Kluyveromyces lactis: one gene and its partners. The protein of the gene in region 3 binds, or shares a complex with, the protein of the main gene of each other region. Links are inferred from orthologs where the notes say so. Each region holds a gene or a part of one and is shown on either strand. Other genes may lie near its edges. The genes, in order: EMC5, EMC10, EMC4, EMC2, EMC1 and EMC6.

Evidence for each region.
Region 1: EMC4 (region 3) and EMC5 share a complex: the UniProt entries of both Saccharomyces cerevisiae proteins name them as parts of the ER membrane protein complex. The link is inferred for Kluyveromyces lactis from reciprocal best matches to the Saccharomyces cerevisiae genes EMC4 and EMC5.
Region 2: EMC4 (region 3) and EMC10 share a complex: the UniProt entries of both Saccharomyces cerevisiae proteins name them as parts of the ER membrane protein complex. The link is inferred for Kluyveromyces lactis from reciprocal best matches to the Saccharomyces cerevisiae genes EMC4 and EMC10.
Region 4: the proteins of EMC4 (region 3) and EMC2 are in contact, whole or in part, in a cryo-EM structure (PDB 6WB9), measured with the Saccharomyces cerevisiae proteins. The link is inferred for Kluyveromyces lactis from reciprocal best matches to the Saccharomyces cerevisiae genes EMC4 and EMC2. Residues at the interface, in NP_011283.1 of Saccharomyces cerevisiae: Gln4, Glu5, Pro6, Tyr7, Trp9, Ala10, Lys11, His12, Leu13, Leu14, Thr16, Tyr18, Ile19, Glu20, Tyr22, Asn23, Ile24, Gln25, Ser27, Thr29, Leu30, Pro31, Ser32, Pro33, Pro34, Gly35, Phe36; in NP_012621.1 of Saccharomyces cerevisiae: Glu146, Leu149, Lys150, Val153, Thr156, Asp157, Trp166, Tyr173, Phe174, Glu175, Met176, Gly177, Gln178, Phe179, Glu180, Lys181, Tyr184, Cys185, Glu205, Tyr208, Tyr209, Leu212, Arg213, Leu241, Lys242, Ala245, Leu246, Ile249, Glu253, Lys280.
Region 5: the proteins of EMC4 (region 3) and EMC1 are in contact, whole or in part, in a cryo-EM structure (PDB 6WB9), measured with the Saccharomyces cerevisiae proteins. The link is inferred for Kluyveromyces lactis from reciprocal best matches to the Saccharomyces cerevisiae genes EMC4 and EMC1. Residues at the interface, in NP_011283.1 of Saccharomyces cerevisiae: Gly163, Ile165, Ala168, Lys169, Gly170, Asp171, Leu173, Glu176, Arg177, Ile178, Ala179, His180, Tyr181, Asn182, Asn183, Gly184, Leu185, Gln186, Trp187, Phe188, Ser189, Asp190; in NP_009884.1 of Saccharomyces cerevisiae: Ser381, Ile383, Arg384, Leu385, Asn386, Ser424, His425, Ile426, Phe427, Val428, Thr429, Glu430, His431, Tyr463, Lys465, Arg466, Leu471, Leu474, Gly475, Thr477, Asp480, Lys481, Val483, Tyr485, Leu488, Tyr489, Pro490, Asn491, Leu492, Thr512.
Region 6: EMC4 (region 3) and EMC6 share a complex: the UniProt entries of both Saccharomyces cerevisiae proteins name them as parts of the ER membrane protein complex. The link is inferred for Kluyveromyces lactis from reciprocal best matches to the Saccharomyces cerevisiae genes EMC4 and EMC6.

Annotation. Positions count from the first base shown.
Region 1 is NC_006042.1:2,569,636-2,574,491, reverse strand, and holds EMC5 (Emc5p), read left to right. Parts: upstream 1-2,437; coding exon 2,438-2,848; downstream 2,849-4,856. Other genes in the region: cohesin subunit IRR1, read left to right, coding at 1-2,077; anaphase promoting complex subunit CDC26, read right to left, coding at 2,996-3,337; KLLA0_F27709g (uncharacterized protein), read left to right, coding at 4,047-4,856. UniProt on the Saccharomyces cerevisiae protein: Part of the endoplasmic reticulum membrane protein complex (EMC) that enables the energy-independent insertion into endoplasmic reticulum membranes of newly synthesized membrane proteins.
Region 2 is NC_006041.1:1,122,898-1,128,255, reverse strand, and holds EMC10 (Emc10p), read right to left. Parts: upstream 3,864-5,358; coding exon 3,291-3,863; downstream 1-3,290. Other genes in the region: DYS1 (deoxyhypusine synthase), read right to left, coding at 1-759; IPK1 (inositol pentakisphosphate 2-kinase), read left to right, coding at 1,059-1,859; hydroxyacyl-thioester dehydratase HTD2, read right to left, coding at 1,868-2,683; YOS9 (Yos9p), read left to right, coding at 4,136-5,358. UniProt on the Saccharomyces cerevisiae protein: Part of the endoplasmic reticulum membrane protein complex (EMC) that enables the energy-independent insertion into endoplasmic reticulum membranes of newly synthesized membrane proteins.
Region 3 is NC_006037.1:99,167-102,212, forward strand, and holds EMC4 (chaperone EMC4), read right to left. Parts: upstream 1,702-3,046; coding exon 1,093-1,701; downstream 1-1,092. Other genes in the region: TAN1 (putative tRNA acetyltransferase), read left to right, coding at 126-1,055; IRC6 (Irc6p), read left to right, coding at 2,870-3,046. UniProt on the Saccharomyces cerevisiae protein: Part of the endoplasmic reticulum membrane protein complex (EMC) that enables the energy-independent insertion into endoplasmic reticulum membranes of newly synthesized membrane proteins.
Region 4 is NC_006041.1:552,977-558,563, forward strand, and holds EMC2 (Emc2p), read left to right. Parts: upstream 1-1,436; coding exon 1,437-2,297; downstream 2,298-5,587. Other genes in the region: TIF5 (translation initiation factor eIF5), read right to left, coding at 1-906; TIP41 (Tip41p), read right to left, coding at 2,451-3,662; ERV2 (flavin-linked sulfhydryl oxidase), read left to right, coding at 4,144-4,755; STE18 (Ste18p), read right to left, coding at 4,893-5,165. UniProt on the Saccharomyces cerevisiae protein: Part of the endoplasmic reticulum membrane protein complex (EMC) that enables the energy-independent insertion into endoplasmic reticulum membranes of newly synthesized membrane proteins.
Region 5 is NC_006039.1:77,836-84,536, forward strand, and holds EMC1 (Emc1p), read right to left. Parts: upstream 3,991-6,701; coding exon 1,816-3,990; downstream 1-1,815. Other genes in the region: URC2 (Urc2p), read left to right, coding at 1-938; peptidylprolyl isomerase family protein FPR2, read right to left, coding at 1,103-1,525; MGR1 (Mgr1p), read right to left, coding at 4,324-5,472; protein disulfide isomerase PDI1, read right to left, coding at 5,875-6,701. UniProt on the Saccharomyces cerevisiae protein: Part of the endoplasmic reticulum membrane protein complex (EMC) that enables the energy-independent insertion into endoplasmic reticulum membranes of newly synthesized membrane proteins.
Region 6 is NC_006042.1:1,425,859-1,430,669, reverse strand, and holds EMC6 (Emc6p), read right to left. Parts: upstream 2,263-4,811; coding exon 1,945-2,262; downstream 1-1,944. Other genes in the region: mRNA-binding protein PUF3, read left to right, coding at 1-1,547; HGH1 (Hgh1p), read left to right, coding at 2,673-3,833; transcription factor IIF subunit TFG1, read right to left, coding at 4,019-4,811. UniProt on the Saccharomyces cerevisiae protein: Part of the endoplasmic reticulum membrane protein complex (EMC) that enables the energy-independent insertion into endoplasmic reticulum membranes of newly synthesized membrane proteins.

The DNA of each region.
Region 1 (4,856 bases), on a different chromosome or scaffold from region 3:
AGTCCGGTTACAAGTTATAAGGTCCCTTCATGACCTAATTAAGTTCTCCAATAAGAGAAACAAAAATACTGTCGATAACGCTGCCCTAAGACAATTTTTCGAAAGATTCAAAGATCGAATGTTAGAAATAGCTGGCAGAGACATCGATATTCAAGTAAGATTAACCTCAGTTCAAGTACTTTCGTCGATTAATGGGTTGGGTTATCTGGATGACCATGAAATAATAGACATCATTAGCTTGATCTTTTTTGATCATGAAGTAAAAGTATCTTCTTCGTCAAGGGACGTTAAATTCTTGAACGAGGTTACCAAATTCTTGGCAAACATTGTTTCTGAAAAAACGGAAGAGTTTCTAATAAACAATGAAAGGTTTAAGGTTCCGGTAATTTCGGTAACGGAAGAGCAGTTTGTTAAGGTGGGTGTGTTAATGAGATTATTACACAATTCATTGTTAAATCATATCAACTCCACTAGTAATTTAGAAGGTTATGCAAAAGTACCACCGGACAAAATCAAACTCTTACAGCAAGCGGCGGAATTTTTATCCCCCAAGTTTTACAACTTAATTGAAACTATATCAAAACTACTCTATGAAGAGGGAAATTTCGATGGCAGCACAATTCATGCTGATGCAGATGATTTTTCCAATGATCTGGGTGATATCAAATTGTTCCTACCAGAAACTGATAACAATGTCCTATTTTATGCCACTGTGTTGGGCGGCTTATGCACAGGCGGCATACAGTACAACAAAGGCCAGGACAGACAAGCCGTGACACAGTTAATTCTTCCAGAGTTAGAAGATCTTTTCAAGAAAATGAATCTTGATTCTGATCAGATATATACTCAACTACTAAATGTAATACAGCTATTAAACACAGAAGAATGGAATTCCAGTGAATCAAAGGATGTCATTTTTAATATCAATAAAACAATAACAAAACGATTTGAAAGCTCTCCAGTGGTTTTGAGCAACGCAAATGCCATTACTAAAACCTATAAGAGTTTAATTCCATATTTGGCATCCCTTCAAATACCAGAGGTAACTGGTTATTGGAAGTCATGTCTGATTAACGTGACATTATCATTCAAGAAGTTTATGGAATCATTTGACATAAAATCTGATAATTCAATAACAACATTATATCTGCAATATGTTAACAAACTTGTAATTTTGGGTAAGGAGTTCGCAATTGAAATTTCAGAAACGCTTTTGGATGACATTGTTGAAAAATTCTTGAAGCCGTTGAGTGAATTACTACCAAAGATTGATTCGGATGCCATATCTGTCCTAGATTTTAAGCTTTTCACCTCAATAGTTACTTGGAATTTAGCAACTTGGAGAGATGTTATCAAAAATAATGAAGAACCTATAGCTGTTTCACATACTACGCTGAATCAAATTAGAACGGTATTAGTCGAATTGCTGAATCTTTCTTCAAAGATCGATTCTAACCCTGAAATACAACACGACAAGAAATTCCATGTGCTTCATGTAATACTCTCTCCATTGTTAGATATTATCATTGCATTCAAAATGTTTGAGCTCGATTTGTCAGAAAAGGATTCCGATTGGATAAGGGCGTTAAGGCAAGAATATTCAGTTATCTCTAACGAAGATCTAACTGGTATTTGCCACAAAGTTTTCCTCTACCTTGAGAGTTGTCTTGGAAAATTTTTGGGAATAACTCTAGATCGAGTGGCTGATGAAGATGTAAATTATGGCGCTGTCAACTTAGTCGATGTTGATGGAGATCCAGAGAAGGAGCTTTGTATCTATACCATTAAATTGAAAGGCCTCATCAAACTTGGAATTCTAAACTATAGCGATTTAACTACAAGAATTGGGTTAAACCAAGAGAAATTAGGGCCATTATTTGAGAGTGTAGTAAGCGAAACGGTTTTCGAAGATGAACCGAAAAATAACGCTGAGAGCCATCCTGCAGCCAAATTAAACCAAGAACCAGTACCCCAACAATATGATGAAGTTCTTGAACCAATTGAGGAATTCACTCAGGATGAAACAGTTCATTCGCCTCCGCACCCTGCAGACCCCATTGTTTCATCACCAATCTAATCTTATTGGGGATCCTACGAAATGAAATTCCTGCGAGTGCATTTAAATCAGTTTATTTTTTTTTTTGGTGAATTGTGTTAAACATAATACATAAAACCTATTACATGGCTATCGATAACCTAAGCTCTCCTCAATCATGCGGCTGTGTGTCAGTACTGCATGCTATCTCTCTTTTTTACCTAGATAGTTTCTCTTGTCGGAAACTCTATAACACTCAGAAAAAAAAAAAAACGGAAAGGTTATTCAAGAATACCAAACAAAATATAGGTAGTATAAGGTTCAACTGGACAGATCTAACATAAATAGGCTTTGTTACTTTACTTAAATACTACTATTCACCGTTTTATCTTGGAATCAACAATGTCAATACTTTCCAAATCATTCTACTTTATAGCGTGGATACAGATTATTCATTCTGGTGTGTCCAGCTATGAATTTCATCAGATTGTGAAACATATCATTCTAGAGAACCCAGACGCTAAAACTCCAGGTTTACCAGATGACGTAAAATTGGAGGCACTATGCGGGTTATTATTCTTTATTTTGGGTACATTTATCAGTCAATCCAAGCTTAAGTACCTTAGTATTCGTGGGGAGGAACGAATAATTGAGACAGATGAGTATCTTAAACCTATCGAATTGAACAAGGCGTCCAGTACAGATGTAGTGATAAACAATGATCCTTATGGGGAAATAAACTACCTTCCTTCATTTGTTGACATCCATGCTAAGAGGAAACTGTTCAAAGAATACCTTCATCGCAGTTTGTGAGTTGATAAAGATTGGTAACTTAAACGCATACATATATATAATATGTACTGGGGAATTACATAATATAATGACTTTGCAATAATAACTAACGGGAGTAGATACAGGGCCGATAGCCAATATAGGCACTTCACCAATCACATTAGGACGTCAGTTATCATTGTGATTGTACGTGTAAAAGGGATTTGGAGGATCCTGTGTACTCTGTGTACTATTTTGTTCAATGAATCGAGGATCTGATGATGCAGACTGTTTATATCGCTGAGGTGGCGTCATCTTATGCAATGAGTGTGATAAAATATCATTCCGTGTCGCACTTGGGTTAGAAATGCCTTCTATCTCTGCTAATCTACTCATTTTTGCAGATGATTTCAAAAGATCTTGATGTTGCGTCTGTATCTCGCGTTGGAGCTTGTACTCTTCTAAATGTTCTTGTAGCTCGGAAATATCATCGGAAGTCAAGGATAAAACTGTAGGATCACGCCTTAGCATAATGGTTGGTATTTATGCCGATTCTATGTTATAATTCTACGTTATGCTATATAAATTGACATCTTAAGAAACTTGACTGCTTTTGTGTTATTAAATTCGGTTGATGAAATATGATGCGAAAGGAAAAGCAAAACCTTCACATACTATTACAAATGAACGTATCTAACACAATATGACGCACATGCAACTCTAAGATCTCTTACTCGATACAACATTTTACCAAATCACTTAAAGAAGGAAGGAAGGAAGGAATGAGCATATATGATCACACTTGGACAATGTAGTTGACCATACGGCGAGTCAGAATCTACAAATTTACATAGCCTTGTTGGCGCAATCGGTAGCGCGTGTGACTCTTAATCACAAGGTTGGGGGTTCGAGCCCCCCACAGGGCTTTCCATTTTTGTCTATTTTATGAATGAATCCTAGATTTTTAAACTTCTTTTTTTTTATGTCTGTAATTTACAGACAATTTCAATGCAATTCAAATTTGAAAACTTATACGCATAACGATCAATTCTTATGGCATAGAGAAACTTAAACAGCTCAGAGTAGCCTGCTTCTCTTGTATATAATAACCAGCCCAATCATCTCTTTGCAGGTTTGATTTTTCACAGTTGAAACCATAGTACGACCTCTTAGACACAAGATTTTTTTATCCAAGTTTCAAATTTGAACTTCGCAGTACCGGTTTACTAATTGATAAAAAATGTCATCCAGTATGAATGGTGGAGACCACAACTACGAAGATAAGCATGCGGGGAATTTTCCAACTTGCCGTATTTGTATGCTGGAAGGAACGTCCGATAATCCGTTGTTCCATCCATGCAAGTGCAAAGGCTCCATCAAATATATTCATCAATTATGTTTGATCGAATGGCTACAGTCAAAACATGTCGATGTTACAAAACCTGGTGCAGGGATGGTATGTTCGATTTGTAATCATCCAATCGCGTTCCAAACTTTGTATGATGAATCAATGCCAGAGAAGATCCCACTTCTACTTCTTCTGAAACATAGCGTTTTCAAAATCTTTGGCAAATTAAATCACTATTTCAAATTCACATTGATTGCGTTCCTTTTCTTCATTGGAATTCCCCTGTCCTGGAATATCTGGGGGAAGCTATATACGGCTACTGTGGATGATTTTTCATTTCCTTCAAATAACAAATGGTATATCAATTTGATTTATGGCTTTGAAAGAAACATACCAAAAAATCCAACAACTACGGATATTTTATATCAACTAGTGATAAATTACAGATTTTCGTTGTTACAAATTCTGATGGTTTTGATCGTGCATGCTATCGCATATTTACAATATGATATGGTAGTCAGAGAGCCAATTTTCAATAAGATGATCTTGCATAAGATTGGACCAAGATTTTCAAAACAAGAGCTGGCCATGCAGTCATTAAGAGAAAGATTTCCAAATATGGATCCAAATGATATAAGCATGCTCATAAATGCCCTCAATAGACAACGACAAGACGATCCAAATGAAGATGATACTTCAGAA
Region 2 (5,358 bases), on a different chromosome or scaffold from region 3:
AGGACAAAAGATTGGGATATCGTTCTTATAAGCCCAGTATAGAACACTGGATTCATCGTTGATCTCTTTACCTAACCTACGGATCAACTTGGAAGGAGTCCATACCGGAGAGTCTTGATCGAAGTTGCTATCCAAACAGTCTTTACCCTGAGATTCGACGTAGTTTTCTTGTTCTTCAAGCATCTTGTCCAAGATTGGAACGATCCATTCTTCAAACTTACAATAGTTGTCGTTAGGAACCAGCAAATTACCAATACGGTTCATACCTTGGTCACGTAACCCTTTACCAGGTAAAGAAAACTCACCAAGGTAAGTGTCAGCCAAACACTTGATGATATCTTCTTCAACACCGCCTGCAGTTGCAACAATGGCATCGACCATCTTATTCTGAACCAAGAAACGTAAAGTCTCACGCAAGCCAGAAGAAATCAAATTCGAAGTGTAACCCATAAAGATAGTAGTCTTTTGGTACCCATCATTGTCAAAAGAACCCTTGCGGTCATGTTCTTCCAACTTGTCACGATGTTCACCTCTCCAGGATCTCATCTCATCGATAATATCGCAGGCTTTTCCCAAAGAAGACGCCTGGAAGCCCATAGTAGCCATCGATTTAATTAAATCCTTAGAACGCATGTTGCGTGATTCTGGTTTGCTGTAATCAATACCTTCGACCTTAACAAAATTATCAGGCACTGGAACAGATTGCTTCAACACAGCATCGCTTAAGATGTCAGGTAATTTACCGTCAATGTTGGACATCTTTTCGTTGTAAGTTAGTAGGTAAGTTGGTAGAGCACTTCTTTCTGAACAATGAAGCTCCAATCGCCTAAGTATAATGTGGTGAATCAGGTTATAGATCAGAGTTAATACCGTCTTGTTCTTACAGTTGTAAAGTTCATGCGGTGAGAAGTGAAAAATTCCTAAAAGGTAAAGCCTTTTAGTTTTATAAATCTCTAATCTGGTGACGAGATGACAAGTCAAAGAAACGATGCTGCACCACGATTAAACACATGACCTACTTTTTGGGTTTGCCTTGGTTCTTTGTGTGAAACTATGGTATGACTCTATTGTTCGTTGGTAGAGGCAATGCTAATGTTTGCTATCTCCTTTCTGGTGAAGTGTACCGTATCAGCTTAAGGCACCAGAAACTTTCCAGGAACAATGCATATGTGCAGGACAACTTCCAGTTTATCGATTCCAAGATCAGGTCACTTCCTATGTTGGCCGATGTGGTTGTTTCCATGAGGTTAGAAGAGGTGTTTGTCGATACAAAATGGATTAATGTGTTGAAAGATGAGAATATCTTAATCGATGATAGTCATATGCAATGCATAGTCATGCCTTTATTGCATGCCAAGGATAGTACATGTGAACAGTTGGACCATTTCAATCAAATCTATCGATGCTCATTGAATGATGCTATTACTTGGGAATTCAAGCCAAAGTGGTTGTATCAATCTAGTGATTATTGTAGGAATTGTACACATAACTCGCTGAAGGGAAGAGATATTGAGTACTGTTTTTTACATGATCCGGAGCTGATTATCGAAACGCTGTTTGCAGGACGCCAAGTGCCAGAAGAATTTCTTGATGACATTCTGCAGTATCTCCAATCAAGTGACAGTATTACACAGAGGCTCTATGCTGCTCAGCGTTTTGTGAAAGATGATTTGTCAACGCTAATGACGCTAAGAGATGTGACCTGTTTCTTGACCTGGTCCCGCAATACAAGGAGCGTCAAGGCTACGATAATAGATGTTGATCAAAAACCAGCAAACAAACTGCGGCATTGGCAGAGTACTGAATCCGCTCTTGCATCTTTCCCAGGAAAGAAGAAGGCTCATTTCAACCACCAATGATTGTACTTTTACTCTATATGTATACATGAAGCTATCTTACACTCAAAGTAAACCTTATGTGAATCCTTAGGATCTCTCAATATTATACTGATTTGACCATCCTTCCCGAGTCCATTGTGACAGATTTCAAGATCTGTGCCAGCATACACATGAGACGTATTCTTGTATTTTATGCTGGAGACTTGTCTTCCAAAACATTGTTCGAAATAGTTGATCACCAATTGAACCAAAAACGGGCCCTGTACTATAACATCACGGTATCCCTCTACGTTGCGCGAATAGTCCCTATCCCAATGTATTCTATGAGGATTCGAACTGATCGAACTGTAAACCATGACATCGATATCTTCCAAATTGATGATTTCTCGGGTACTGTAATCTTCGGACTTGGTTATTACTTTATCTGAGACTTTTTGATTAGTATATATCAACGTTCTTAACTCTTTAACATATAGGTACCCCTTTTCGTCTCGTATAGTTCTCTTCAACCCTACGAAATGGTCTTTGTTCAGTTCTTTGATGAATTTAAGTTCTTCTTGACAATTGTACCAGCCATCTGTCAGTGATTTCTTGAACTCAATTGATCCCTGAACCCACATGCGACGCCGAAAGGGCACTTCACGTTTCAATATAGCACCAGGAGTCTGGTACGAGTAGTATCCGTCTTCGCTGAGGGCAGCTGTTACTGGATGGAAGAACAATAAATGTGAACCTGAAAGCGATATATCGTTTGATACTTTTGCTTTTGGCAAGATAGATGTAACCAAAGTCTGATACCTCTGTACCGTCACCGGATTGATGTAATCACTGATATGCCACTGCATTGCCGCGAAAACTAACAGCTATGTGGATATGGTTGGCTTTTAAGGATTCCCTTTTTTTTCTATACTGTTTGATGTGAGGTTTACGATTGAATGCCCAACAGTTTTAAATTCATTCATTACTTGTTTATGACGATATACAGGTAAATAAATTAAATAAGATGTGAAGTGGGATACAGTTCTATCGAGTTGGTAGTAAACACTACTGTGCATGATATCGTGAAGCTGATTGGCAGTCTAATTGACTGGAAAGTCAAGTGCAAAGTGAATTATCGTAACAGCAACTACAGTGTTACAGTGCAAATGAGAAAAGCATGATCGATTGTTGATAAGAAGTGAGTAATGGAGTTGCTTAGTTTCGATCCTTTTAAAAAGCCAACATTGGTAAATCTTTCACTTCAGTCTTTCCATCGAGCACTCAATTAATAAACTCAAGGCAAATTGCTCATCAAAATAATCCATGTCACTAATTGTAATACATTTCGTATTCGTAGAGTTAATTGAATGTTTCAACCACTCCTATCCTATCCAAGCAATAAAAGTCAGTCGTCTGGTCATTTCTTTGTCTTCTTGAACGTATATATACGTAGCAAGATGGTAAAACATGAAATTATTTCTGTGATCCACTGGATAAAAAGACATAGGCGAGTAGCCCTATGACAACGTACTTCCAGTTTTTCTGAAGAAACGTTTTGTTCTCTACAACATCTTCTTCAAATGCAGCGGTCCCTGTATCCTTTCTCTGAGCTTTTTTCTTTGCCTCGTAAGTCAGAGTTCTTTTCTTCAACTTGATACTTTCCGGTATGGGACCATTTCCAACCTCCTTTATCAGTGGTACGATGCCATCAATACTATCATCTGCATGAATCGACATACGAACTAGTTTATCATCAAGTACCACCAGCTCCAGTTCGTATGACAATGGTTGCTTTATATGGATGAAAGAGAAACACTCATCGTAATAATCTTGAAAAGTCCCACAAACTTTATATTCACCGTCTGTAATTCGATTGGCTGTCACAGCCAGGTTAATACCTACCTCATCACCAGCTTCGAAAGTTGCCAGGCTGTACCTTTCATTCAAATTGTTCAATAAGTAAAGATCACCAGTACCTTGTAGAGATGCCACTACCGCACGCAAGTGAAACAGAAGTATTAGTAACAATTGAATCATTTTTAGCATAGCTAATTATTTGAAGATAAATCCAACCAGTTTTCCGCTGTGTTATATGATGGAAACACCAGTCTATGCTGTGAGATTCATCCTTTTTATTATTACATTTATTCAGTTTAAGGTTTAAAATTGGATTAATTCGATTAATTGGATTCTTATATTACAAACGTTTAAGTTTACTTAGTGGAAAGTACAAAAATGATATACGGAGCTATTATTTGTTGGCGCATTGTTGTCAATTCGTCAGAGGTTGATTGTAGCTAGTGTATCTGCCGCCTTATATGATATTTTTACCAGTTACGTCGGTGGTGTTTGCTATCTCATGGATTTATTCAGGTGTCTCAGCATTCAATCCATATAGCTCTACGCCTTATTCGCTAAAATACGTTGATGAGCAAGAGTTCCTAAGTGTAATAGATAATGAGACATTGCTCCAAGAAGGACGGCTTTTCCGCCCCTACGAAGGGTCCGATGTTTTGTGTTACCAAAGGAACACTTCGTCGTTGATTCAACATCATGAAGAAGATACTTTTAATTCTGAAGGAGCTCTCATTGAAGCAGTTAACATGGTTAATGCGATCTTGGCTCCAAACCCTATTGAAATGAATACAGTGCCTATTTCTTACTGGACTTATATTATATCCTCTGGTGAGACGAGGACTGTTGTGCAAAAAGGTTATTTTGGCGAAACGTACCTTTTAGGGAACTCATCTAACTACAACTCAACTATTGATTATCACTTTGCTAAGAGTAAAACTGGTAGAGTGTATCTTAGCGAAACTTTGGTAGATGGTTGCACTTGTGATCTTACACATAAACCAAGAGAGGTAGAAATACAATACATCTGCCCTAAACGTCCACTATCGAGGCCTTTCCATCTTGAAGTTAGAGAAATACAATCCTGCAAGTACCAATTGAGACTGTTTCTACCACAGTTATGTGAACTTAGCTCATTCAATCCGTTGCTTGGTCAATTATCTGAACACAACATAATATGCCATAGAAGCGGCAGCAAATTGAGTCCTGCCCTTGATATATTCAACAGGTATTCGGCTACTGTACTTGATCATGGCATATACCTATTAAAACCTAAAAATAGTGCGAAGGATAGGCGTCAATTGATGTATCACGCTGCTGAACCACTGGATTCTCAAACTACCCTCTTTGAGCTCACAGTAGAAGAAAGGTTTATTGGAGACTTCATATCTAGTCTTAAGAAATTGATTGGTTCGGACTTTATACAATCACCCACCGGGAAATCGATCAAACCTGGTGATCTATTTCTATGGAGAGCGCCTGTAGTAGATGAAACGGGAAATCTGCTATTTTTAATTGACTTGGAATTGAATTCAGCCTCGGAAGCGATTGGGAAGGTGAATAATGATGCCTCCCTTTTAAATGAATTGCCGATTCATAACATGGTATATTTTGACTCAATGACAGTTAATCAAACGGATGAGACATCAAGCAACTCTTTACCCGAGAAAAGCACTGGTCTAGTTCC
Region 3 (3,046 bases):
CAACACATAATGCCATTGAAATTTTATATCAAAAGAAAATAGATACTCTGGGCATCATATGGAAAGTCATTAAGTTAACCTAATGTGAACAACGTACGGAAGCAACCTGAAGTCAATCACTCACGATGGCAAAAAGAAGCAGAAAAGATTCTAAAGGAGGTATCGTTAAGAGATATAAAGTTGTCAAAAGCACTCTAGATCCTAACACTTCAGGAATCTACATAACGTGTGCAAGAAACAAAGAGAAGGCCGCTGCCTCTGAAATTCTTTCTATTTTTGAAGAAAAGGTAGAAGAGTACTATTCTGATGAGCTCAATGCCATGAACTCGGCCTCTCCTGATGGCTCAGGATCCATCGAAATCGAAAGTAAAGAACCCGTCACAACAGAGTCGAAGAAAGAGATTTCAATTGAAGAGGAACTTCAGCAAGAGTTGGAAGGACTAAAAAACCATAAAACTACCATAGTCGATACCAAAAAAAACAAACCAATATTGGAGCAGCTCGACCTTCAGACTGAGTGTCTAGTCTTTGTGAAGACCCGAAAACCGATTGTTCCAGAAAAGTTTGTTCATAGAATCATCAGAGATCTAGCCGATCCACATGACTTGAGGAAAAGAACAAGATTTGTGCAGAAACTAACACCAATTACCGATTCATGTCATGCCAGTATGGAAGAATTGGCAAAACTTTGTGAACGAGTACTACCACAGCACTTCCACAAAGAGGAGATGGTGCCAGTAAAATTTGCAGTAGAGATCAACAAACGAAACTTTAGTACTATGGATAAAATGGAAATGATTAAATATATTGCTGGATTCGTAGGAAAGCAAGGTTCATTAGAACATAAAGTTGATTTGAAGAATTATGATAAGCTTGTGCTGTTGCAATGCTTTAAAAACAACATCGGAATGTGTGTTGTAGATAAAGATTATCGGACTGATTACAAGAAATATAACGTTCAGGAATTGTTCGAAATGAAGCATAAAAATAAAGAAACTACTCCTACTACTGCAGAGTCTGCCCCGGCTTCTACCCAAAGCAATACTAGCAAATAGACCCTTTTGTATAATGTATTAATTTCGCTACATTCAATTAAATACTTAACGTACGGTATAAATACTCCGTTGGTTGTTGCCAAGCAAGCCAATCACTTGACGTAGTTGGGAACAATCCCATTGAATTCAACTTATGCAAACCTATTCCCATGAGGATTAATTGGTATATCACGTACATAATCATGGCTGCAACTACAGGCGGGGTTACATCATTATCTTTGTTGATTAAATGTTGAAATTTTGACTTAACTCCTAAGATACTTTTGATGGGATTTGAGACCAACATCACAGCAGTCATTATAGGAATAATTTGCAAGCTGTTACCAGACATATATGACATAATTATATTCATGGGAACAGATTTGAGAGGCTCAGAAGATATCTGCCATGCCCGTTCTGCAGTGAGTTTGGCTATACGATTTTGAGCGTCATGATCTATCACCTTAGGGGGCTTCTGTCCTTCGATCTCTAGTTTCTTTATTCCAAACGGATCCGGCAATTTACCACCATTGACACTATTTCGCCTCATCACTTTGTCAACTTTCAAATCTTTCGCCCATTGTGGGATATCTTCTGACATAATTCCCTCTTGAAGCTTGTCTATTAGTCCAATTTCACTCTTGAGGAAATCATAAATCTTTACCATTGGTGAATTCTTACGTATTTGAAACTATCAATTCATGATTTCTTATTTTTAATAACATTAATTAATGTCAGTAAAAAATCACTGTTTTGAAAGAGAATAAAGTGATTAAACAAAAAACAGCCACGTTCGAAGCAGTTACAGGAGCAGTTCAGTATTATTTAGATTATTGTTAACTCACAATATTAAAATAAAAGTCTGAAGTTACAATGGTTGACATATATATATATATATACATGAAAAGGGTTAAGGAAAATATACAGTGCGACAAATAATTTCAACTAATTGGAATTCTGATGTGAATGAATTTGAGCGTATTTTTAAACTTGCACAAGACAGGAGTAAGCATCATATTAGAATCAAAGCCAATATGACACCAAAAAGCTGTAGAAAAAATGATATGGTAATAATTATGGCAGTTTTTTTCCACCAAAGAATACTCTGTAAATCGTTATCGTCAGGCTCGTCAATCACATCGACATTATCAACATTCTCCACGGTATATTCTGCCTCGGCTGGACCTGGAAAAGGTTCTTCCTGGATTGAAGATTGATACTCGTAATTTTTAATTTGTATCTCCTTCTCCATCGGTGTGCTTAGAATTGATTCAATTTGTCTATGCTTTTTAAGGCTTATGCAGAAACTTTACTAAGTCTCAAAAGAAGTAACCTCGAACTGCATACGTCTTTTATATTGAACACAATTATACAATGTCTCAAGGATAATTTCAAAACCATCATAGTCTCTTGAAGAGCAAAATATCATCCTAGGAGGGGAAGTTGTGGTTAAAGTTATGCTCGTTGGTAATTCTGTCATTTTTTTTAAGAAACGGAATTAAAGACAGACAAACACTGCCTACGTGATTATGGCGCATTTTTGGGCAAATAATAATTTAGGTCCAAAGAGTTTCAAAGGTAACGGTATACTCACATCACATTTAATTCCTTGTTTGCATGTTTATAGGAGCTTTTCTTCTGTTTATATGTGCCTCATGACTACATGCAGGTACGACTCTGGAAAGCACAATTAATATTTTCATCAAAATTATATCTTCTGTCGCCAGGACAAAGCCGTTAGGAACTAAAAGTAAATCACTAAAAGATGATCATGCTCTCTTACAATGATTCTTTTCCTGGAGAGTGACTGGCCATAGTAATTTATTGTATTCGCGATGGATAACCATAAAGTCCTTATACTGCTTCCCGAATCCTTGGAGATACAGGAGCACATAGCATTCATATCAACTATATTCCAAAAGCAATATGACGAAACAGAATCTATTGCACGAGATGTGCAATGGAAGACTAAGTACTACGAGACCACTTTAGATCTATACATCGATACATAC
Region 4 (5,587 bases), on a different chromosome or scaffold from region 3:
ATGTTCAGAGATATCCGATACGATATCTTCATCGAAAAGAACTTGGGCCAGAACTGCAGCAACCTTTGGATCTTCCAGAAGCTCGAGTTCTGCAATCTTTTTGTATAATTCAATATCGGTAGGTAGTTCTTCTTCATGTAGTACCCATTCACCAAATTCTTCCAACTTGGAGAATTCGCCAGTTTCTTTGTCAGCTTCACCTTGTAATTCTTTCGCACGAGCTCTGATGGCTTCTTCAGACATATCAACGGCCCAGTCCTCATCCTTGACTTCAATGGTAGCCAAGTTAGAGGCAGCGGCATTAATTTGTCTGGCCAATTCATCATCATCGGAATCGTTTTCTTCGGCATCGTCACCAGCTTCAGCTTGGGATTTACCTTGAGCGATATCACTAATAGAAAGACCACCACCTCTGACATTAGCAGACGCAGTGGCAGCCTTCTTCTTTTTCTTGGAACCGTTCATACTGTCAGGAGGGTTCTTTAAGACGAACGAGGACAACTTATGTCTCAAATCCATAGGGGTTCTCTTACCACAAGCTTTACAGTCTCTAACCAAATCACCATCTTTAGTGATAACAATTTCAGTTTCAGGATTCTTACAGGATCCACAAAGGACAAACTTAGTGATGAAACCATCCAATACGTCCTGTAATTTGGCTGGTTGATGAGCACCATTGACAATGTAACGATCATTTTCAACATTGATAGCAGTTTGGGCACCCAATTCAAACCCGAAATATTTGATGATGTATGGAGCTGGTCTGTTTAAAGCACGGGCAACATCCATGGTATTCATAACAACAGTTTTGATACCATTACCTCTACCTTCAATCTTAGCCTGAATTGGAGGCATTTTATAACGGTAGAAAGGGTCATTGTTGTCTCTGCAAATATTGATTGACATCTTCGGCTACTGTTACTAATCTCTAGTCACTTGTTTCTGCTACCACCGTGTCTTTGACGTTCTTCAAGTCTGGAAAACACAAAAACTTTTAAAAGTAAGTTCGAACTGATCCTGTATTGGACTGTAAAACGGGGTCATTAACGCCTTCTTGAATCATGTATATGGAAGAAGTTCATCTCATCTCTTAGAAGTTCAACTTCAACTCTTCGCGTGTGGCAATCAGATACTGAGGCCTTGATTCCTGAAAAATTTTCGTCGTTTATGGTGATATGAAAATACATGTCGAAACGGAGCATGTGTCACGTGCTTTAGCTCCAACGATTCATTTGGCTCTGTGATTGTTTAAGCATCGGTTCTGTAAGAGACATATTACAGGGTATAACATGGGTGAGATACGTATGGTGGTGTTAAATGTTTGAATACCTTCAATACAATTACTGCTCGTGGAATTTAGTGAGTAATTTACTGTGTTGAAATTGTGCTCGAATCTCACATACATCTTAGGGTCGAAATCTAACTTTGTTCATATCATGGATTTACTTAAGAACAAATTACTGGCAATCCATAAGACTGGCGCATGGGCCATTCTGCCACCTAAAGAAATTGATTTGGCTTATAAGGAAACGAAACTTTTGATAGATGCTGGGTTAAATGGGCTTGACGAAATTAGTTATTTCTCAATGGTCGAATTATTGTTTTATCTTTGTCTTGTTCGTGGTGAAGACACAGAGGCTGAAACATTGTACAAAACTGTGACAGATCGTCTAGGTGACGATTCTCCAAGAATTCATGTGATGCACTCTATGTTAATACAGGTCACTCGATCCGATGATGCGGCTAAGAAATATATCGAGGATTTGATCAAGAATCAGCTGGAAATAGCTACTGATTCAGAAGACTACGTACAGATGAAGAAAAGGCTACTTGCGATAGAGAGACCTTCGATGAGTAAAGAAAAATGGGTAAAAGAACTACTGGATCTGGTTGAGAAGTTTCCTCTAGATGCAGAAATATGGTCGTTACTTTCGCAAGAATACCAGGAGGCTGGGGACCTACGTCAAGCAATATATTGCATGGAAGAAGTCATAATTGGGGTGCCGTTCAGTTATGAAGCATTTGGTCAATTAGCTTATTTGCATTACTTGAAGTCTCAATCAGATTCTGACCCTGAAGCTGCTTTGCAATCAAGTTTATCAAATGCGTTGAGATCTGTTGAGTTGGCAGAAGCCTACGTGAAAGGTTGGGGTATTGTATTGAAGACATCTCAGAAACTGAATAAAAAACCTGAATTAACTCAATTAGCTGTAAGAAAATTGCAAGAACTTCAGCAAAATAATGATAACAGAGAAATCACTAACGTATCCAGATACCTTTTGGATTCAGAAACTTGAATAGTGTGTATATAATATTATCACATGTATTACGAGATTTGTATATTATTCCTTTTGGGTAACATAATTAAATAGGTAGATTCATGAATGAGCAAATCAACTCTTTCTTGAATTTTCCAAAAGTGCTGTCAATTCGACAGTAGCGGTGAGTGCTTATTCGACAACTTCTTCTATATCTTCTTTTTTCCTCAATACTTCACATACGCGCTCCTTCAAAGGTAATACAGACGCAACCCAGTTGCTGTCTCTCAAAGATTTCTTAGGATCGTTTGAATTTAATCTACATTTATTCAATACTGTCTTGTAATCATCCTCCATATATTTCCATTCCCGTACAACAAGGTCCTCATTGAATTCGACATATATTCTTGTATCAATGATTTTAAACAAGACCTCATCGACTCTTAGGAAGAATCTGCATAATAAAAGAAGTCTCTCTGCCATTACCCTAAGTTTTATCGAAAGCATACTGATACCGTTGTCTGCCAATTCATCTTCAAATAGAATGAAATCATCATAGAATAAAATGGGATCTCTTCTTGTTAATTTTTCTATTGGAAGCTGATACTGGTTATCCACAACAAACTTGTATTCACTATCTTCTGACACAGTCCCATTGTATAAAGTCGTATAGGACCAATCCCAATGTTTTCCGAATTGTAATCCTTCCTCTGTGTTTGTCACTTGACTATTCTTAAGTTTGGAATTGATCCATTTCTCGGAATATGACACTCTTAACCCAGAATCCCCAAGTTTTACTTGACTAAGTGCATGGAACGGATTGAATCGTATGCACCAATGAGTCTTGGTGTTCTTCAATTCAACGCTGGAATGACCAAAAATCATTTCTGGGATTGGGAACTTCAATTTCTCAGTCCAATCGTCGATCTCATCACTAGAAAGAATAGGCCTCTTCGTCGTGGTGATAGTCCAATCACCTACACTTACAGATGGGTCATCTTTCGCTGGTATTGTGGCTACAGGGGATGGAACAATGACTGTACCGCAATGGCCACAATTTGGATTATTCGGATTATTCGATCTATGTGGGTGTGTATGAGTGTGCTTATGATCATGTTCGTGAGAGCGCTTGGAGCTCGGTTTGGGCATGCTAGTGGCTACTGTAACCGACTGTGTATCTTGGAAACTTGAGTTCGTGGTGGTACCACCGACAGTAGTATTGGTCGTGCGCATCATAGAACTTTGTATCTCGGTTTCTCTTGGCTGCTGCGGATTGCCGGGGTGACGCGCCCTTACCGTAGCCTGAAACATTTCACGAGCCTGGTTAACCTGTATCATAGGAATACCGCTCCCAAGAGATCTTCTGTTCCTGGCATTGTTCTGAGGCTGACTCTTATCACTCATTTTGGCATGTGTATTTCCCCTGATCGCTCAGATTCCTGTCGTATAATAAAACTAGTGAAATTAATCCCTATGCAAATTTTCTTGGCTATTAGCGTGAGAACAAAATGACGTTCAACGCTTGTAATCCAGTGGGAATATTAATTAGTTTGAAGTTTTATCAGGGGCTGAAACAATGATCGTAGTCCTTTTTGCAACGTTTCCTTTCCACCACAAATCTTCAATTAAGAGATGTCTTGCATGCTGGAATATTGATTCTTATAAATCTCAATATCAATAGAAAAAAGGTTACAGTCGAAAAATATTGGAAGATCGTAAAAGTAGTAAGGAATGTATTAATACGTGATTGACACCTTAGTGTAACAATATGGGAACAAAGTTATCTACCGAGGAGCCGTACATACACCTTACAGAGTTGTTATCCCTCTGCTATTCTCTATTATTTCTAAAAGCATACTTTCCTTGATCAGATTGAACAACGGATATGTCAATCAAGCTAAAGGTAGGACTGCATAAGCAGCGGATCGTTACAATAACTACGCTTCTAATGATAGGCTTGCTATGGTTTACATTTTCTAATAGCCAGCTACCTATTGAGGGGTCACCATCGTTGGGTGGTACCAAATCCGATCTGTTTGGAGGACTAAGTGCGAACGCGAAGAACGATGATGCATCAGGTACGATTATGCCGAAGATGCCTGATCAGGAGGCGAAAAAGGCTTTGGGGCGGGCTTCATGGAAATATTTCCACACTCTTTTAGCCAGATTTCCCGACGAGCCTACAGAGCAAGAGAAAACGAAACTACGTGAATTTCTTTACCTATATGCGGAGTTATATCCATGTGGCGAATGTTCTTACCATTTCGTCAAGATGTTGAAGAAATACCCACCACAAGTAGCCAGTAGAACCACTGCTGCTTTATGGGGCTGTCATATTCATAATCTAGTGAACGATCATCTTGAAAAACCAAGGTACGATTGTAACACAATCTTAGAAGATTACGACTGTGGATGCACTGACGAGAACGGTAATATCGATCCATCTTTGAAAATGAACAAAGTAACGTTGAACAAAGAGGAGAAACAATTGGGATGAAGTGAGGGAATCGTTTACCCTCCGTATGTGTCAATTGAAAGAATAAGATCTAATATTGTTGCATTCGCATTTCGTTTTATCTAAATATATATGTAACTAATAAGCATAGAGAGTATACGGCAGCAATATTTTTATCATCACATTATGGTACAACAGGCACTCGTTTCCTCGTGAGATCTAGCAAAATTGTTCTTCCTCATAGTATTATTATATGGGTTTTCACCAACCATTGGGTAACCCCATACTTCTGGAACAGCGTAATCCTTATGGGTTGAGGTATAGTCGATTATGGACAAACAAGCATTTGACGCAGTCATTCTTTCCCTTGCTAGCTCATTTCTTAATTTATTATTCAATTCTTCGATTCTTCTCAATTTCAATTCCTGGATCTTATATGGTAACTCTCCCATCAGTGGTACACAAATACAAACTCGAAAACTACACCAAGGAAGAGAGCTTATCTTTACTCACTCTTATCACTGCACCGAGTTTTTCTGCAAAACAGTTGTACCAAGCGTTAAAACTACCAATTACAAACCTTTATATACATAAAACCCTTGACTGAAACAACGTTTTCTTTTAGCAATCCTGTACTAAATTTCCCGCTGGCATGAGAACCTCCAGTATCTCAGTCAATATTTGTCTGGTTGTGGTTCATCTTGAAACCTCAAATCAGTATCTAATGAGGTTTTGGCCATAAAAAAAACTCATACTGACGCTGTCCAGCGCCTGGGAAAGGAGACCTTTTTTAGTCACGTGACTGTCGAACCCCGATCCAATCCCTTTTCTTTGCTTTCCCTGTATGAAATTCAGAGATAAAAGTGAAAACAAA
Region 5 (6,701 bases), on a different chromosome or scaffold from region 3:
TTTACCACTTGAGAATACTCAACTCCCTAACTGCATGTAATCTTCAATTTTCAATCGGATTTGGCACTTTTACCAACCAAGATCCGTTTATCAAAGAACTTAACAACCTTATAGCTAAGTTTCCACAGTCTAATTTTCGAGATGACATTAAGCTAAGTGAAATAAATCTTAGCGATGTTGTCAATGGTATCTTCTTGAACTTTAAAAATTATTTTTGGAGCTTTTTCAATATTTTCAAGCAGGGCGGCAACAGAGACAGAAATGATGATGCTATCTTAGTGTTTCCAGAACTTGATTACTGGTTGAAAAACTGGGAAGAGCTCTTATCTAAAGATAATGGTGGTATACTTTGGTTTTCTTATGATTTTTTCTACGTTATGATTTGTCGTTGTTTCATCATGGAGTTTTACCAGCAAACACTAGCACAAAATACCCAGTTTCTGGATTCAATTCTACTGACAATGAAACAATATTGCGTATCCTTACTACATGGGTTTTTGAAACTACCACCTTCACTGATAAAAGGAGCTCCAATAATAACAACAAACCAAGTGGTTTATGCATGCTTAACCTTATGCGATTTTCTACATAAGTTCAACGCTAAGGAAAGACAACAGACTTTGAACTTATGTACGAAGATTTATTGGCACCTAAATGCAATTGGAGAGAAACGTAACGAGGCAACAGAAAATGTTGCAGTAATAATCAAATCTCTAATAGACACTGGGAAAAAGAAAATGTTTTCGTCTCCGGACTCATCAAATTCTAAAACTTCGCCTAATGAATTTGCAAGAGTTGAAGGTCTTCAACAAACCAGTGAGATACCACAAACATTCAGCATTCCAGATGTGAACCGTTTCAATAGTTTCGAAGATTTCTTCCAGGACTTTTTCGAAAACTTGCAACCGACTGCACAACATCTGTTTTCGGATATATGATCTACATTTGTATCGAAGTAGTTATTCGGAGTAACTGCGTCTTTCCGAATTTGCATCTAATTAGATATTTATTAATAGTACTAAAGATAATATGAGCTTTGAAACATAGACGATATATCTAATAGGAGTAAATGGTACCAGTCATAGGATTCTTACATCCGTTACTATAACTCATCGTCAACAGCTTCTCTTTGAATATCAACAAGTTCGGTTTCGAAAATTAAGTCTGCATCTGGTGGGATTACGCTTCCAGCACCACGAGAACCGTACCCTAATTCACTTGGAATATGTAAGGTACGGCCCTCACCGATGCACATTCCTAAAATACCTTGATCCCATCCACTAATAACTTGACTGTAACCCAACTTAAATTGAATTGGTACTCCCCTATTATACGATGAGTCAAAAATCTCACCAGAGTCCCTCAATTTACCAGTGTAGTGCACAGAGACAACATCACCCTTAGATGCCTTGATCTTACAATCAACAGGCTCCTTGGTCACTCCAACAACTAATTCGGTCAACTTTTCTGCAAAAACTTGCAATACAAAGAACAATAAAACAGAAAGGCCAGTAGTGAACTTCATTTCGAAAGTTTAGTCAATTATAGTGATCTATTTGATGTAGAACTTTTAGAAAATCGAAGCTCATGGCTTCTTTCCCAACCCAAGACTGATCTATTGTTATAATTGGATCAAGAAGTACATTCACTTTTCTATTTAGATATAAAAATAATATGTGAGATTAGCCATTCAATAAAAAGATTAATTGAAAATAGGGTCTGCCTTTAACTTTTGAAGGTGACAAACAAAAGATTAAATACATATAAAATGCGATGCAAATGCAACTTTCAGATATTTTAGAATTATACATGTATTCAAATAGATGTAATATCAAGGTCTTTGACCAACCATTTCACTTTCAACTTGCGCTGGTCCACCATGGGTCTGAGGATGTAGCATAAGATGAATAAGCCCATAATGGTGAAAAGAACCTTACTCTTTTCAAAGCTTGCTCCAAGTTTGTCAAACTGAGAAGATGGTGAAACCCTTGTGCAGAAGATGTCATTACCGATGGAGCATATTATACTAGTGGATTCCAAGTTCGTCGGAACTGATATTAATTTCGATTTATCTGAAGGAAGAATCTGTCTAAGATGACTAACCACTGAAAAATCATTAATTGGTATGGTGGGTTCATAAACAGAAGCCATGAATTCCTCTTTGTCTTTCTTTGTCATATCAGACTCTGGTTTTCTTCTTGCGTTGACAACATATTTGGGGAGATATGTAATGGACCCATCATCTAATTGTAAAAGTATAGCTTTCGTAGTAATTCCAAATTTAGTTTTGGATAATGCAAGTGAATGTATGATCTGAGGGAAGTAATATGCGTTGCTAATCGTTGCCGGTTTCACAATATCGTCTAGCGGGTTCACTAAGCTCCCTGGAAGGGATCTCCTTTCATCAGGAACCAGCGATTCGTAAAACTCAACGACTACAAGCTTTTGTTCCGGTATTGGAGCTGAACTGAAATAACTGTATATGCACCAGTGTTCTCCTATCACAAGGTTTACTGGCAAGGTTAAGTCCACAAACTCCTCATGCTTAACAGTGTAAAGAGTCTGGCCAGTAACCGTGTCAAATATTTCTAGTAACAAGGAATTCTCTACAGAATTGCCCATCAAATAGCCTCCAATATTAGGATTGAGGTACTTGTATAATACAGTTCTGTTTCCTAGGATTGCACCTAAACCTGGAACGTGGCCTTTATCTCTGACAGCATGACCAACAATACGTTCATTCCCCCCTACGTTTCTCTGATAGGTCGGTAAGAGGGCATCCCCCTGAAGGGCATACCCTGTTACTTTCTGCTCTTCAAAATGGACGAAACTAATATTAGTATTTCCAATGTGGGAAGCGTTGAATATCTTGAAAGAACTGTTTTTGACATTAACTAGTTTGATAATAGGTGATTCACTGTTCGCATCAAATTGAAAACCGTCGGGAGCCTTATTTTCGGGTGTCAATCCGAGCGGTTGCTCTAAGAGATTAACAGAATAAATACTAGAACGCGTAACAATCGAAAGCTCGTTTTCACTCCTCAGGCGCAATTTCAAAATGTCCTTCAAATTTGACTGCAGACTCCACAATTTCTTTCCAGAGATGATGTCCAGAGATGTTATAATTCCTGACTTAGAAGCGACGACAAGCTGCTTTGCAAAACCAAATCGTACGTTTAGATCTCGCAGTGCTGAAGAATCATCTTCAGTTATCAAATCGGCAAACATTCTGCCCAGATTAAATCTTTTACGGATAAGATACGACTTTAGTCTTTCCCAATTACTTTGAACACGGAACTTATATGCGTCAATTAGGCTCAATTGCTGTTCGTGGAGCAGTTCATCCCTAACAAAGTCTAAATTATGATTTGTTTCATCAAGGACAGTATATGCGATAATATCAGAGTAGCCCTCATTTCTTTCCCAGTGGGCAGTCAGGGAATGATTTTCGTATCTAGTGTAATAATATTCTTTATTAGTTGTAGATATCAATACTTCCGCTACTGTGCTATCACTGCTCAGGCCAAAGTATTCTATCTTTCTGAAGGTCTCTGGAATTTTGACTACCACATCCCCCTCTGAAGAGGAAATATTAAAACGCAGTGTATTGTTATTCAAGGTAACAGATTGAATGTCTAGTTTCCGACATTCAACTTGGCCTGAATGAGTTGACTTAGGGAAACCTGTCAAACTATCCAAAACTTGACCAGTATTCAAGTGTATATTTCCATCCACAACTTTCATGGCAGCAACAGAGGCATCCTGAACGAACCTTTCAACTATATTTCCTGAAGCCGCATCCAAAAGTGAAATTACAGGGATGCCAGTGGGAGTCTCCCCTAAGACCACGAATGACGAGTCTGATTTGTCAATACATTTGATATCACCTAGGTTTTCGATTTGCCAATCCACGTGAAACGCTTCATCATTAAATACAGCCCCTGTGGATTTAAGCAGAAGTACCCACAACGTAAATATAAGGGTTAACATGATTTGATTCCGTTATGGCAAGATCGAAGGTCCAGTGTATAAACTTTAACTAATTCTTTACTTGGACACTAGTTTAGGCTTATTTTATTCGAAGGCTATTGTTGGTTTCTTTGAAATAATAATAATAATCGTAGTAAAAAATGGTTACTACAGTGGGAAATATGTCGTAGCTTTCGTAACACAAACAAGGAAACAAAAAAAAGGCAGTATGAGAGTCTCGATATAGCTATATATCGATTAAATTTGTACAACGATTCTTATATACAGTTTGAAATCATGAATTGAGTCAGTTATTTTTTCTGTTAGTGTAATACAAACGTGTATGATATTCAATTATGGCTTTCTCTCATCTTCGCTATTCTCTATGGAAGTAACATGCTCTGAATCTTTGAGTCTTTTCTGGTGTTCATAATAGTCTTCATTAAAAATGACCGAAGGAAAGAACTTAATGCTTAATGCGGTGTCTAATGCTAAATTTGTCCAAGGATTGTAAATAGCCCATATTTCAGTTAGTGGGATATCATTTGGTGATTCTGTATCATGATGCAAGAGAACTTTTCTAATTGCATATATGTCCTGCACTTCTTGATTTGTTCTGATAGCCCGTGCCGGAGCATGAGCCATCAATGTATGTATTCTCTGTCTATTGCGCTTGTTTTCTTCTTCTAATTTTACCAATTGAGAATTTATCTTATCGTTCTTCTTTTGACGTCTGAGATTGTTGAGAAAATCAGTCATATTCAGGTAGTATTCTAGTTTGTCTAAGAATTCAGAGAATGACTGTGGTTTATAATCCAACGGTCCGAACCATTTAGTTACCAAATTCTCGGCCTGCGCTTGTGCTCTCGCTACGGCGATACTTTGCTTCACCTCTGGTAAGTTAAGGGAAATTGACTGTCCTGATAATTCATCCTTGGCCTTGAATTTCGTTGAATCAACTCCCTCGTGATAGTATTTGACGATGTCATTGAAAAACTGCTTTTCACGAACTGATTTTGCTTCTTCTACCCAGGGATCGTATTTGAGAAGGGTCAATCTTGAAACCTCTAACATAGACTGCGAGAGTATTAGAGTCCCCGCTAATAAATAAGTAACACGTCTAATAGTTCTAAATCTCTCTGAATACCAAAAACCGGTACGTGTACCAACTCGAATATTGAAAGAATGTGTTCCCCCGAATTGAACAGGAATATGTCTAGTCATGTACATATCACCGTGTGTGGTACTGAATCTATTCAAACTAGGAAAATCGGCAATATCTCGTTTCACCCATTTCTTTCCCAATTTTCTAAACCTTTGCATTAGAAATAACCCAAGTCCTGTTTGAATTGCAACTAATGACCACAATCCTGTTGTGTTATCCGAACTAGGCACTAATGGTCCCCATAGTTTCAATCCCAGACTTGGTCTTGTATAAAACTTGGGGTCATTGCCAACAGGCTCAGAATTATCTGACTGAGTTCCGGATGTATATATAGCCATCTACTTCGCAATTCTGTCCTTGCTGCTTGTTCACTTTGTTTGAACCTTTAGTAATCCGATACGTGCTCTTCGAGTTGTCTTATGTTGGCCCTCGTCCCGGTTGGAAAATGTGATTGGCAACGTAGTTGGTGATACTTTTTCGGAGTTAAGTCACGTGATTAAATTTTATTGCTTGAAATAAAGATGAATTCAAACCCATTTAGAGACGATATGCAACACATGACGCCGAGAAGGAAGAATAGCATGAAGGGTTTTCATAAAGTATATGCAATACCGGATAAATCTATTATTCAAAGGTATACTACATATGTATAAAATATCGATACCAACTTTTGTTGATGTTCGAGGTTAGAACTTTTACAAATAAGAGGTAGTAAAATGGGTTACGAGATATGGGTTTATTTACAATTCATCTTGCTCTAGTTCAGAATCTTCTTCAGCCACTTCTTCAACTTCCTTCGCCTTTTGTGCTTCTTCTTCTTCTTGTTTCTTCTTCTCCACTTCAACTAAGTATTCTTCGTAAAGGGCAAGGCCATCAACACCGTGAGAACCGTTTTCCTTGATGAAGGCTAGGAAAGCTTCGGCAGTTCTTGGTCCCTCGAAAAGAATTGGTTCAGTTTCTTCACCGGCTGGCCACAAGTATAAGACTGGGAAACCTGGGATTTCGACAGATTGAACGTCATTGGCAGTAGCATCGATCTTGGCAATCAAGACCTTATCTTTCAATTCGTCATTTTCATGAGCAAATTCAGCCATGCTTTCATAAGTTGGTGCCAACTTCTTACAATGACCACACCATGGAGCGTAGTACTCAACTAAAACATCCTTCTTTGGATCACGGACAATTTCTTCATGGTTTTTACCAACAATCTTAAAGACAGAGTTTTCTTGGATTTCTGGAATTTCTTCACTTTTAACAATAGGTTCCGCCTTACCTTCCAAGAAATCTTCAACAAACTTGGTGATTTCTTCAGTGGCTAAAGTGATTGGTTTTTCCAAAGCCGCGAATTCTTCATCAGCCAATTGTGGCAAACCGTACTTCAAGTCCTTAATGGTGTCATGGATGGCAAACAATGGGAATTGCTGCTTTTGGTTCAAGTTCTCGGCGTGTCTACCGAATTTGGAAGCATCCAAACCAGCAAAGTTGACCTTACCTCTGAATTTCTTAGCCAAGTCAACAAAGTGAGATTCGTATTCTTCACGTTCTTCTGGGGAAGTGTAGAAGAAGT
Region 6 (4,811 bases), on a different chromosome or scaffold from region 3:
TGATGCCACATCCAATGGCTCCTTATCCATTCCCCAGTCCATATCCTTTCATGTATGCTCCAATCAAAGAAGATGACACAGAAAATAATAAGGATAGTGAAACTGTTAAACCTCCTTTGAGCCCTACTTTCTTGCCACCAAATCCTTACATGTTCATGCCTCCATCTATGCAACCACGTCCAGGTAACTTACAAGACGCTCCAAGCTCCCCTCCATCCGCAGACAATGGTTCCGGTTCTAACAAGAGAAATAACGATTCTAAATACTCTGGCAAAAATAAATCAAATCCATACCTGCACGCAGGTAAGGCTCAATATTCACAATTCTCTCCGCCACCAAGTAGGGCAGGTATGGCAGTGCCCCCAAACACTTTGCAAAGTTCTTCAGGTTCAGGTGCAAACAAACAGGGTCGCCAAGGTAAAAATGCTCGCCAGAATAACAAACAGCCTATCGTTAGATCCCCATTATTGGAGGAATTCAGGAACAATTCTTCCAATAAAGTTTACAAACTTAGCGATATTTACGGCTCCGCTTTAGAGTTCTGTAAAGATCAACATGGTTCCAGATTTATCCAACAGGAATTGGCAACAGCTTCTGATGCTGATAAGGAAGTAATCTTCAATGAGATTAGAGACCAATGTATACCATTATCTCATGACGTGTTCGGTAACTATGTCATTCAAAAATTCTTTGAACATGGTACAAAAACACAAAGGGAGGTATTAGTGGATCAATTCAGAGGCAAAATGGAGAACTTGTCGTTAGAAATGTATGCTTGCCGTGTTATACAAAAGGCATTTGAATTCCTAAATGAAGATCAAAAGGTTGATCTCGTATCTGAACTTTCCCATTGTGTTTTAGCTATGATCAAAGACCAGAATGGTAACCATGTTATACAAAAAGCCATCGAGTGTATTCCGATTGAAAAATTACCATTTATTCTCCAAAGTTTAAGAGGACAAATCTATCATTTATCAACGCATTCTTACGGTTGCCGTGTAGTTCAAAGACTATTGGAATTTGGAACTCTAAAGGACCAAGATGATATTTTGAATGACTTGGATGAATTCATCCCATTCTTGATCCAGGATCAATACGGTAACTACGTAATTCAGCATATTTTACAGCATGGAACTGAAGATACGAGCAGTCACATAGGAATGAGTAAACAAAATATCATCGATATCATTCGTAAGAATGTTGTTGAATATTCAAAACACAAATTTGCCTCCAATGTTGTTGAAAAGTCAGTAGTTTACGGATCCAAAAACCAGATAAGACAGATTTTGGATCAAATTCTACCAAGAGACGAAGAGCACGCCGCTGATTTGGAAGATAATGCACCATTGATTCTAATGATGCGGGATCAATACGCGAACTACGTTGTTCAAAAGCTCGTGGGTGTCGCAACTGGTGAAGATGAGAGGTTGATTGTTATTTCCATCAGATCCTATTTGGATAAATCCAATAAAAATAACACTTTGGGTAACAGGCATTTGGCTAGTGTTGAAAAGTTAGCAACTTTGGTGGAAAAAATTCAGATATAGATGTATGTCAGCCTCAACTTGGGAAAGCAAGACAAAAAAAATTGTTCTGCCTCGAATATTTGCATTTGATAACCACGCTTTCTTTCCCTAATAACTGGTTCACTTTCTAAATCATTCTATTGATGAAGATTGCCATTTCTTACGTTTTGTATCCCCGTGATATCTCTCACGAAGATCTTAATATCTTCTAAAATCTGTTGTTGAGAACAGATTACTACCTAATAAATTAATATCCTTTAAATGTACATATTGTTTATCATCATCCTGTTTATAATACATGCAAATATTTATCTCTGCTATAAGTTTTAATGACCATAATATTATAGTACTTCTAGAATCCTAATGGTGATATCGTTCAGATGAAATCAACCCGTTAATGCAAAATGTGTCATATGCGTTACCTGACCAAAGTGAACGCTAACGTCCAAGTCATGACAAACCCAGCTAGCTCGCGGAATAGATTTTTAACCCATATTTTATGCACTGGATTAGTAAAATATAGACTAGGCTTGAATTTGCAAAACCACGCTATAAATATGAGGTTCACCAGGATATAAACAGCAAAAAACATTCCAAAACCTGCAAAAGATTGAAGTTGCAATATCCCAGCACTAAGTCCTGCTGTCAGCATTGTAGAATCCTGTATCCGTAGTAGTTTGTTGTTGTTGAAACTTCCACTTTTGGAAGACTTTAGGTCGGTGAAGCGATAACTCATTTTCCAATGCTGTTATCTCGTAGTTATGATTGCAATTGGTTGCAATAAGCCAAGACTAGAATAAAAGTGATTTATTATGATAAATGCAGCACTTAAGGATCAATCGAATCGCAGATTGAAAAGCTCTGTTTCTAACGGTGGTTCTATTCATTTAATTGAAGATGGAGATCTGTTATTGTCGGTTTGATGCTGATGTAATTGTTACCCGCCTTAAAGAGTCGAACCTTTTCTTTCACGAAACTTGAGAAACGTTTGACAAACTCATCGCAGCTCATCGCATCAACCATATCTACGTTGGCAGTTGGTGTAACTAGGTATTGTTCACCAGCTAATCAACTATAACTTTCATTGTTCAATAAAACATCTTTGTTCGAAATATCTGCGTTTACTTGATACGATAAAGAGGGAAGATGTCCACGGAATTAGAAGAATTAGTGTCATTTTTGCATTCAGACCAGCCTGCCGTCAGACAGATTGCTCTTGATAATCTGGTTGGCTTCTCAACTGGAGCAAGTGCTGTCATTTTCAAATGTAATAATTACAAAGCTATAGAGGATCTAAAAGTTCTAGCTAAAGATAAGTCAAAAGTTATCGTTCAACAATCCACTACGATTTTAGCGAATTTATGTGATGATGTTACTATGAGAAAGTTGATCGTCAAGGATACTGAATTCCTACAGTACTTATCGTGGAAAATCTGTGATTTAGCTAACGCAAGTGCGGATATCATGTGTATTTTATTGTCTAATCTCGCCAAGGAAGACAATATTACCGAATTGTTTTCGTTTGTTAAGAAGGAAGACGATGGTATTCCATTAAACATAGAAGTCTTTAAAAGCAACAAAGTAATGGATTGCTTAATGGATTGTTTTGTGAAGGGTTACGATAGAAAGTTGAACAGATATGCCACTTATGACTACTTAGCTTATTTCTTTGCCGACATTTCGAGATTTAAGATTGGTAGAGAGTATTTCATTGAACAGCAGGAGTATGACGGCGTCATCCCAATTTCTAAACTATTGGTATTCACTGAAAAGTATGATGCTAAAACCAGAAGAGAAGGTGTGGCTTATACCATCAAGAATTCGTTATTTGATTCCGAAAAGCATGAAAACCTTTTGACTAATGAGGAAATCAATCTTTTACCTTATATTCTTCTACCGATTGCATCAGCTAAAGACTCCGAAATTGATGAAGAAGATATGTTCAATCTACCGGATGAATTGCAACTCTTACCTGCCGACAAAGAGAGAGATCCTATTCCTGAAATCATATGTGTGCATTTAGAAAGTATTTTATTGCTTTGTACCACTAAAGCCGGCAGAGAATACTTAAGATCGAAATCAGTATACCCATTGGTCAGAGAGTTACATAAAAATATTGGAAATGACGATATCGGTGAATTATCTCATAGAATTGTTAACATGTTGATGAGAGGTGAGCCGGAGAATCAAGTGATAGAAGAAATCGTGGCCAAATCTGCGGAAGATGGCGAAATAGCCGAGATAGAAGAAGAAGAAGAAGAAGAAGAGTCCGACGATGATGACGATGCTATCGTCGAAGTTTTATAAATGATAACTTCCTATAGATATCTTGTTTTCAAATAACATATATTTATTTTAAGCGTACTTATTGTTAATAAACTGACTATATCAATATGCTATTTCCTGCCCCTTCCAATTGGACCCAGGTGATATATATCAATTATCACTACATGTATATCTCCAGAGGTTTGAAAACGAGGAAATTATGTTAACTACTTACTCAATTCGAGGAATTTACCGTTCAGTTTAACAAGTTTCTTGACAAAAACCTTCATTCTTTCTTTATTGTCAGGATGTCTACCGACCTTTTCTTTCAATTGTCTGATTAATTGTTTCAAAGTCAACTGCTTGCCCTCAATTGCATTGATTATATCGTCTTCCGTTAACAAATCATCTGCCGAGTGATCAGACTTTGCCCTCTTATTGTCCATAGATTCTTGTGGCTGAGACTCTGCTGGACGTTTCTTCAAGTTTGGATTCCAGGCTCCTGCAGGGAAGTTCGATAATACTGATTTCTCACCAGTTAGTACAACGATATTTTGATTAATGCTTTTTACTACTAATTTTGGTGGACCTGATGGTGTGTCAGAAGCTTTCTTCTTTGGTGAGGATCTCCGACTTTGCTTTTCATTATCCTTCTCGGAATCTTTCTTATCCGAATCAGCTTGCTCTTCATCTTCCTCAGAGTGTGATAGATATGGGTTCTCTTCTGCATCAGATTCATATAAAGCACCCAGATCTGTTTTAAGGAGGGCTTTCTTGACTTTTTCACCTTCTTCGTCAATTTTTTTCTCTCCAAATAGTTCGTCATCTGACTCTTCCCCATCATCGTCACGTAATCCCAAAGCATTAGCTTGTAACATTTCTTTCTTGATCCTTTGTTCCGATTCCTTATTCTCTTCTTCATTACCGTCTATGATTGGTGCTTCTTCATCATCCGCAAATTCTTCATCGTAATCCAATTCGACCTCTGAGTTATCTCCACGGTCCTCATCATCTTCGGCC